Ovis aries: one gene and its partner. The protein of the gene in region 2 interacts with the protein of the main gene of each other region in a pairwise test. Links are inferred from orthologs where the notes say so. Each region holds a gene or a part of one and is shown on either strand. Other genes may lie near its edges.

Region 1 (4,449 bases), on a different chromosome or scaffold from region 2:
CAATGAAGCAGAAATAGATGTTTTTCTGAAACTCCCTTGCTTTCTCCATGATCCAACACATGTTGACAACCATAACAGAGGTGCCTAAAGGGCCCAGGAAGGCCATTTCTCACAGTGAGTTTCATGGGAAACACAGTGGAGGGTGTGCAAGCCAGGCAGCCTGGCACACCCATGTCCTGACCTTGAGAGCTGCAACAGTGGCCCAACTCCAGCTGACTGGGTTTGCAGACAGGGCCTCCAGACTGCCCAATATTCTAGTGTTTCAAAACCCAATATGACTATAACATATATGGACTATCCCAATTTTTCTGAATGGCCTACACAACAAAAGTTTATTTTCTCAGTTCTGGATGATAGAAGTCCACGATCAAAGAGTCAGTAGGGCTGGTTTCTCCTGAGTCCTCTTTTCATGGTTTACAGATAACCACCTTCTTGCTGTGTGCTCACTTGGCCTTTTCTGTGTACATATGCCTCCCTGCTGTCTCTACCGCTTCTTCTTTTTTTCAGGAAGTATTTATTTCTTTATTTTTGGCTATGCTGGCTCCTTGTCAGTGTGTGGGCTTTGTCTAGTTGTAGACAAGCATGGGCTTCTCATTGCCGTGACTTCTCTCTTTGTAGAGCATGGGCTCTAGGGAACGTGGGTTCAGTGGTTGCAGCTGTAGGGCTTAGTTGCCCCATGCCATGTGGGATCTTCCTAGAGCAAGAATGGAATATGTGTCCCCTGCATTGCAAGGCAGATTCTCAACCATTGGACCACCAAGGGAGCCCTCTACCTCTTCTTATAAGGACATTAATCATGTTGGATTAGGGTCCCACTCAGACTACCTCATTTAACCTTAATTACACCTTAAAGGCATTATCTCCAAATACAATTACACTGGGGATTGGGATTCGGTGCTTACACTTTGGAAGAACACTATTCAGTCCATAACAGCAGTCCACTGTGAGTCTCAACGGTAATCTTTTGCCCCAGGCATCTGTGGTTGGTTTATCTTGTGCTTTTCTGGCCTAAGTTTTAGACTCAGCAAAACAGAGATGAATGTCTGCATTATGGACTATCCCGTTTTTTGAGGAGGACGGTAAATAGAAATAAACAACATTGTAAGGCACAAGCAAAGCAGGTCTGAGGGCTCTGTGAGGCATATGGCCACTGGTTTGCAATCTCTGATCTATTATAGAGTAGGCAGGCAAGTTTGTAACCTGTAAACTACGGTGCTTTGCTGTGTCAGGGTAAACAGTACTTGGGTGTGGGGGAGGGATGGCAGCAGGGGGTGATTCCCTCCTGCCAAAGGTAAGACCCAGAAGTGACTCCTCTGGCCGTGACTCGGTGCTTTCGCCCCACAGGCCACTCTCCTTGTAGCTGAACAGCGGCCGGAGCCTACAGAGCTGCGCTGACGCTACCCCCGTCTCAGGGCCTGAGGACAACGAGCCCACCCTACCAGCCTTTCAGGGAGCAGGGCAGCAGCGACTGGGGTTTTGAAAGCTTTCATCAGAAAGTTGTGGGCGGAAACTTCCGGGGGTTTGCTCTGAGCTTCTTGAAGCTTCTCAGGTTCAGATGCAGAGTGAGTGGGTGTCTCTTTGAGAAGCAGAAAGAGAGAACGAAAGAGAGGTGTTTCCCTTGGTTCTGGAAACTCTATAAAGAGAGAACCGGCTTCCTTCTCATGAGCAGTCAGAAATAGGAGTCCGGCCCTTGACACCTGGGCCTCCGCACGACTGAGGAAGAGGAAAACCCTTGGCTGGGGGCTGGCCTGAGGCACTGGATACCATGCAGCAGCCCTTGAATTACCCATACCCCTCAATCTTCTGGGTGGACAGCAGTGCCAGCTCCCCCTGGGCCTCTCCAGGATCAGTCTTCCCCTGTCCGTCCTCAGTGCCAGGAAGGCCGGGGCAAAGGAGGCCACCACCACCGCCACCCCCAACACTACCGCCATCGCCACCCCTGCCTCCACTACCGCCACCACCTCTGAAGAAGAGGAGGGGCCACAACACAGGCCTGTGTCTCCTTGTGGTGTTTTTCATGGTTCTGGTGGCCCTGGTTGGACTGGGGCTGGGGATATTTCAGCTCTTCCATCTGCAGAAGGAGTTGGCCGAACTCAGAGAGGTAAGCTGCCTGGGGGATTGCCGCACCCTGGAATGTGCGGAGGTGGGGGATGGGGTGAAACTGCCCTGCTGCAGTGGGGGAGGAGGGCGACAGAAATCCACATGGACCACACTTGGCTTGCAGCATACTTCTCAATCCTTTCTTCCTGTCTTAGAAATGAATCACGCTAGCCATCCTGTTCTGCCTGCAGAGAAATGGGGGCTCAAATGGGTGGAAGGAATATTTTCTATCTTGGGAGGGATCAGGATCAAATCAGGACTGGCAGATGATCAGTTGGCTGATCATCTGAGAGAGGAAGAACTCTGCTACCTACCTCATACTCGATTCAAGAAAGAAAAGGGACTTGGCATCTGAGAAGTGAATTTGTTCAAATGCACAAACTAAATTTCCTTGAAAGTGCTTAAAATTATTAGAACTATTTCAAATCACAAAACTGAGGCATGGACAGGCACAATTGCTTGGCCAGAGTCTGAGTTAGGAGAGGTTCTGGGTGCTTAGATTCCCTTTCCAGTGCTTAGTTTATTTGACAGTTCTTCTTCCTTTGCTTAAAGAACTTCATCAGTTCAGTCGCTCAGTCGTGTCCGACTCTTTGCGACCCCATGAATTGCAGCACGTGAGGCCTCCCTGTCCATCACCAACTCCTGGAGTTCACTCAGGCTCACATCCATTGAGTCAGTGATGCCATCCAGCCATCTCATCCTCTGTCGTCCCCTTCTCCTCCTGCCCCCAATCCCTCCCAGCATCAAAGTCTTTTCCAGTGAGTCAACTCTTCTCATGAGGTGGCCAAAGTACTGGAATTTCAGCTGTAGCATCATTCCTTCCAAAGAAATCCCAGGGCTGATCTCCTTCAAAGTGGACTGGTTGGATCTCCTTGCAGTCCAAGGGACTCTCAAGAGTCTTCTCCAACATCACAGTTCAAAAGCATCAGTTCTTCGGCGCTCAGCCTTCTTCACAGTCCAACTCTCACATCCGTACATGACTACTGCAAAAACCATAGCCTTGACTAGACGGACCTTAGTCGGCAAAGTAATGTCTCTGCTTTTGAATGTGCTATCTAGTTATTATGTATCTTTTCTCTTTTGCCAGTCCACCAGCCAGAGGCATACAGCATCATCTGTGGAGAAGCAAATAGGTGAGTTTTTTTATGCTTGCACGTTGAGTTTCTAAAAACAGTCCTCAGCACCAACCATGTTGGAGGAGTACCTTGAATTCCACCTTATTCTTAGGCATATATAGACTATAGAAGAGAAATCCTAACCAATTCTGAAATCTCTTGTCATTTTGGTTCTTGAAACTGCCCTAAAATATGAAGTGAGTTTAACTGTTCAAAATTAGTTAAGTATCACAGAAAAATTCAAAACTAATTTCTGCTTGAATTTGGAAAGAGAAACACAGATGTACAACCCTGGACCTTTGCCCACCCCCCACACCCCAAGCAGCTGGCTCCAGGCCTGCCCCCTTCCTCAGGCCTCCTGATTCCCATGTACAGGGCGGTGGCTATAGCTCCTCAGGAGAGAAGGGAAGGTGCAGACAGACACAGCTGTTGCTGGGAAAGATCCTTGCTCTCCTATTTAATCTCTGTACTCTTGCCTGGAAAATCCCATGGATGGAGGAGCCTGGTAGGCTGCAGTCCATGGGGTCGCTAAGCGGACATGACTGAGTGACTTCACTTTCACCTTTCGCTTTCATGCATTGGAGAAGGAAATGGCAACCCACTCCAGTGTTCTTGCCTGGAGAATCCCAGGGATGGGGGAGCCTGGTTGGCTGCCATCTATAGGGTCACACGTAGTCGGACATGACTGAAGTGACTTAGCAATAGCAAAAAAAAAAAAAAAAAATTACTTAAGAGTCAGACCTGATTTAAAATTTTAATAGGTTATATTTAAGCTTTTAAAGAGTGGGCAACCAGTCATCCACATTAGGGTGGTTCTTTTGCAGCCGCTGGAAAGCTTGGAGGAAGACGTTAGGCATTTTACAGAGGGTAGTCCCACTTCACTCAGAGACAATCATGCGCTGCTTTTGATAATAAAGGGAAATCCTCTGTGTGAAATTCAGGACAGGAAGATGACAATGTTGAACATCGGCCTCCTAAAGTTTCAGGACATAGTTTTGGAAACTGTGGATTTAGAATACTCGTTAAACTAAGATGGAAAGGAGGTTAGAGAACATCTGGTCCAGTCTTCTCACCTTTCAGAAGAGAAGCAAAACACCAGATGGATTAGTAATGTCCCCAAGACCTCTGCTGTGGAATGGGGCTGAGAAGGAGCTCAGGCTCCTGATGCCTTGCCACCTCCAGCTCTTACCAGTGTGTGCTCCGGCCCTGTGACACAGGGAAACTCCTACTCCTA
Region 2 (4,281 bases):
GCTGGATATTGGAAGCCTAATTTCTTTCTTGCTGAGAGATTTTTCCTTTCTTCTTTCTGCTCCCTGCTTTTGCCATAAAAACTCCATTGTCTTGGTAGGTACCTTTGGGGGCCTTGGAGTTTCTCTCTCTCCTTTCAGTGTGTAATGTCTCACAGCAAGGGCTTTGATGGGCTTCTCAAGGGGTCATACACCTGGACCAGGAGAGCACCTAAAAGTCTGCACTCTCAGAGGGACAGCAATTAAAAGGACGTGAAAAATAATTTTATGTGGAAAATTTTCTGGTCTAAGCTCTGATCACTTTTATTACTGGGAAAGAATGCATACATGTGTATGCATCTATCTGTACTGACAGATGGATGGGTAGATAACTGCTCACCAGGGTGGCTGTAAAGTTTCCTCTCTCTCACTTTTATCACTAAAAAGAGCACCTGGTCCAGGGAGCACCCCCTCTCCCACTCGGTCTCTGTGCTCTGAATGGAAGGAAGCAGAAATCCTGGTGGAGAAAAAATAATCCCAATGAAGTCAAGTTCATAAGTGTGTGTCTGTCTGTGTGCCTGTGTAGGTGGAGAGATGTTAATTTATTTTGTAGTAAATTAGCAGTTTTGTTGGGTTCTTTGGGCAGAATGCACAGATAAATCACTACTGAGGAGGCTGGATTCCAGCCTGGGAAATTATAGCCTGCTTCTAAAGCACAGCCAGAATCTATTGACTTAGTAACGAAGTCAGTGTCAGAAAAAACATGGGTTTGAATCACCACTGAGCTGACTGCACACATGTAACAGTGTTTTTTACAAACATGCTTTCTCATCTCTAAAAAAGGTTTGACCACCTCAGCACTTCTGACCTAACGAAATTGGTTAAGAATCCAAATAAAAAAGAATAGCAAGAAGAACCACAATAGACAACGCATTTATGCAACACAAATGAATTGTTATTTTCAGTCTAACCTGCTTTTGGAAGGATTTTTTTTACACATTTAATTCTGAAATTATTATAGATTCACTGGAAGTTTCACAAAAGAATGTACACACAGTGGTCCCACACACTCTTCACACAGTTCCACCCAATGGAAACTGCATAAATTGTACAACATCAAAGCCAGGAGACACACTGGTATAATTCTAAGAGCTCATTCAGATTTCATAAGTTTGTATGCACCCGTGTGTGTATGTGTGTGTGTGGTGGAGGGGTTGCCATTTTCTTCTCCAGGGGATCTTCCTGACCCAGGAATGGAACCCACATCTTCTGCGCTGGCAGGTGAATTCTTTACCACTAAGTCACCTGGGAAGCCCGACAGGTGAGTATAGTTCTATGCAATTTTAACACATGAGAAGGTTTGTGTAACCACTGAAATCAAGTGTAGCTTCCTATTGAACCACTGAAATCAAGTACCTTCCTATTGAAAAAGCTTCCCAATGACTTAACAAACAAACAAACAACTTCTCCTTGTGCCAGTTGGTTAAAATAAGATTGGGGAGGAACTTCCTTGGTTGTCCAATGGTTAAAACTCCATGCTACCAAGGTTCCATTCCTGGTCTGGGAACTTAGACCCCATATGCTGCATGGTGCAGTCAAAAGATAAAACAAAAAAACTATGGGGAAAGGACAGATCTAGATAATTAGAATCTGCAAATACGTGATTATTATGAGGATATGAGCGAAGGCACAGGCACAGTTTCTAGTGCTGCAGAATCTGGACAGGTCTGCGGTTGTAGAATTTATCAGCATTTACTTCTGAGCTCTGATCATTGGTCACAGGCATTAACACATGTCCATCCCCCTCCATACTAAATAGCCTTTTAAGAGGTGTTTCTATTAATAGTTAAGAGGATCGACAGACTTAAACTGTACTTTCTGCAAAGATACACACAACGCTGAATAGGAAAATGGTTACTCTTCGGGGAAATCACATTGTCTACTGATAGAAATTCATGCTTAAGAAATTCATCTAGGCAACTATGACTTTAGGAAAAACACCCTTAGTTCCTAAATGGTCTTTCATGCCTGTATTAGTTTTACCAATTTTTTTTTCCCTCAAGCAATTTTGGTGGAAAGCAATCTATACTTTTTCATTGGTGGTGTTTTAGTCACTCAGTTGTGTTCAACTCTTGCAACCCCACGGACTATAGCCTGCCAGGCTCCTCTGTCGATGGGATTTTCCAGGCAAGAATACTGGAGTGGGTTGCGGGTTCTTTCTCCAGGGGATCTCCCCAACCCAGGGACTGAACCCGGATATCTTATATCTCCTGCATTGCAGGTGGATCCTTTACTGACTGAGCCACAAGGGAAGCCCATTTTTTTTCATTACTATATGGGATATAACTTTTATGTCAGAATATCTAAGCATTGATAGTAGCCATAGAAATCTATGGCTAGGTTTTCTGCTTTTTAAGACATTACTTCCTGAAACAAACAAAATGTAGTCATTTGCTGTTGTAAAGGGAAGCTGTTTATGTTGGAGAAAACTGGAAGAATCAGGTTATTATCAAAGTCCTAGTTTTTCTCTTGGGTTTAGTTTGGAAGCCTTTTTGATACATCTTCAATAAGGTAAAGTGAGCGCTGACACTAAAGCTTTCCTATGGTTTTGTATTCTTTCTGGATAAACCCTTTCCTTGCCAAGAACGGTCACGGACTGGGGAGATGGTCTTACCTTGACATTGTGCGTGGCTGTGGCACATCCTTCATTTTCCACGGTTTGGTGAACATTCACATTATATGGCTCAGCCCACGGCAGAGGCAGAAATCGTATCCTCCTCGATGGTCTGGAGAAATGTTTCTGGTGGCCCTGTTGGTTGTCTTGGGAAAGCCTGGGCATGTTTTTACAATAAAGCCTCAATCGAATCCTGTAGCTTGATTTTAACGGTACCAGCCCAGGGTCCACTCTATTTCTCTTCCTTTGGCTGGTGCTGGGCCATCGCTTCGTCTGCTGGGGGCCTCCCTGTAAAGTCGCATCCCTCGAAGCAAGAGGATTATCTGTGTTGTGGGTCAGCAGTTTATCCACAGTCCGTGGGCTCTATTCCAGGATGAGAGTCTCGGTATGTTCTGACTGCCCTCTACAGGTTGCAAGTGAAGTGAAAGTGAAGTTGCTCAGTTGTGTCAGACTCTTTGTGACCCCATGGACTGTAGCCTATCAGGCTCCTCAGCTCTACAGGTAGCAATGTACTCCTACTTCAAATTTAATGCTAAATCAAAACTGAAAGAAATGATTCAAGTGATATATTGCTTAGTATATCGTGATAAAGGAAATAAATCATGTGGTAATATTCTGCATTTGTAGTGTGTGATATGTGAAAAATTTGGACTATACTCTCGAGAGGCAGAGGAGCCATTTTATCTCAGTCTCGTAAAAGGTCCTTCTAGCAGCAGTCAGCTTTGTGGCTGGAAATGCTTGCTAAACTCATAACCACACTTCACTTCAAAGATTATTACTTTTTATTTATGTCTTGTAGAATTAATTGAGGACTTCCTTGGTGGCTCAGATGGTAAAGAATCCACCTGCAGTGCAGGAGACCTGGGTTTGATTTCTAGGTTGGGAAGATCCCCTGGAGGTGGTCATGGAAAACCACTCCACTGTTCTTTCTGGAGAATCCCCATGGACAGAGGAACCTAGTGGGCCACTGTCCATGGGGTCACAAAGAGTTGGACACGACTGAGTGACTAAGCACAGCACAGCACAGAATTAATTGAAGTAATTTCCTTGTGCGATAGTCATCTAACCATGAAGTCAAAACTTGGCTTCTACATCATACTTCCTTTTTGTAAAGTGCTTTATAAATATCAGATTATTGGACTTTCCCTGGTGGTCCAGTGGTTAAGTCTCTGCGCTTCCACTGCAGGGGGCCTGGGTTTGATCCTTGGTCAAAGGTATCTAAGGCCCAGGTGGCTTCTGCTGGGTCTGGAGGAGTACAGAGGTAAGGACCCCAGGTATGCATTGCTGGGGACTATGAACTGAAAGAACTTCCTTTCATAACATAGTCCCAGGCCCCTAAAATGGATATATAAAACTAACATAAGTTGGACCACACATCATGTTAAAAAATTAACTTGAAATCAATCATAGACCCAAGTTTAAGAGTTAAGATTATAAAACTTTTAAAAGGAAACTTAGGAGAAAATATTTGTGATCTCAGATGAGGCAAAGCCTTCTTAGACATGATACCAAAAAGCACAAGTGACAAAAAAAAACAAAACAAAACAGGCAAACTGGATTTCATCAAAATGAAAACCTTTTGTTTTTCAAAGGACATCATCAAAAGAGTGAAAAGACACCCACAAAATAGG

Evidence for each region.
Region 1: the proteins of RGS20 (region 2) and FASLG interact in binary tests that used the Homo sapiens proteins (3 or more experiments, as listed by UniProt). The two-hybrid records come from large-scale screens. The link is inferred for Ovis aries from reciprocal best matches to the Homo sapiens genes RGS20 and FASLG.

What each region holds. Positions count from the first base shown.
Region 1 is NC_056065.1:39,430,848-39,435,296, forward strand, and holds the start of FASLG (tumor necrosis factor ligand superfamily member 6), read left to right. Parts: upstream 1-1,555; 5' UTR 1,556-1,765; coding exon 1,766-2,101; intron 2,102-3,187; coding exon 3,188-3,233; intron 3,234-4,449. UniProt on the Homo sapiens protein: Cytokine that binds to TNFRSF6/FAS, a receptor that transduces the apoptotic signal into cells. Involved in cytotoxic T-cell-mediated apoptosis, natural killer cell-mediated apoptosis and in T-cell development.
Region 2 is NC_056062.1:34,890,960-34,895,240, reverse strand, and holds the start of RGS20 (regulator of G-protein signaling 20), read right to left. Parts: upstream 2,890-4,281; 5' UTR 2,816-2,889; coding exon 2,643-2,815; intron 1-2,642. UniProt on the Homo sapiens protein: Inhibits signal transduction by increasing the GTPase activity of G protein alpha subunits thereby driving them into their inactive GDP-bound form.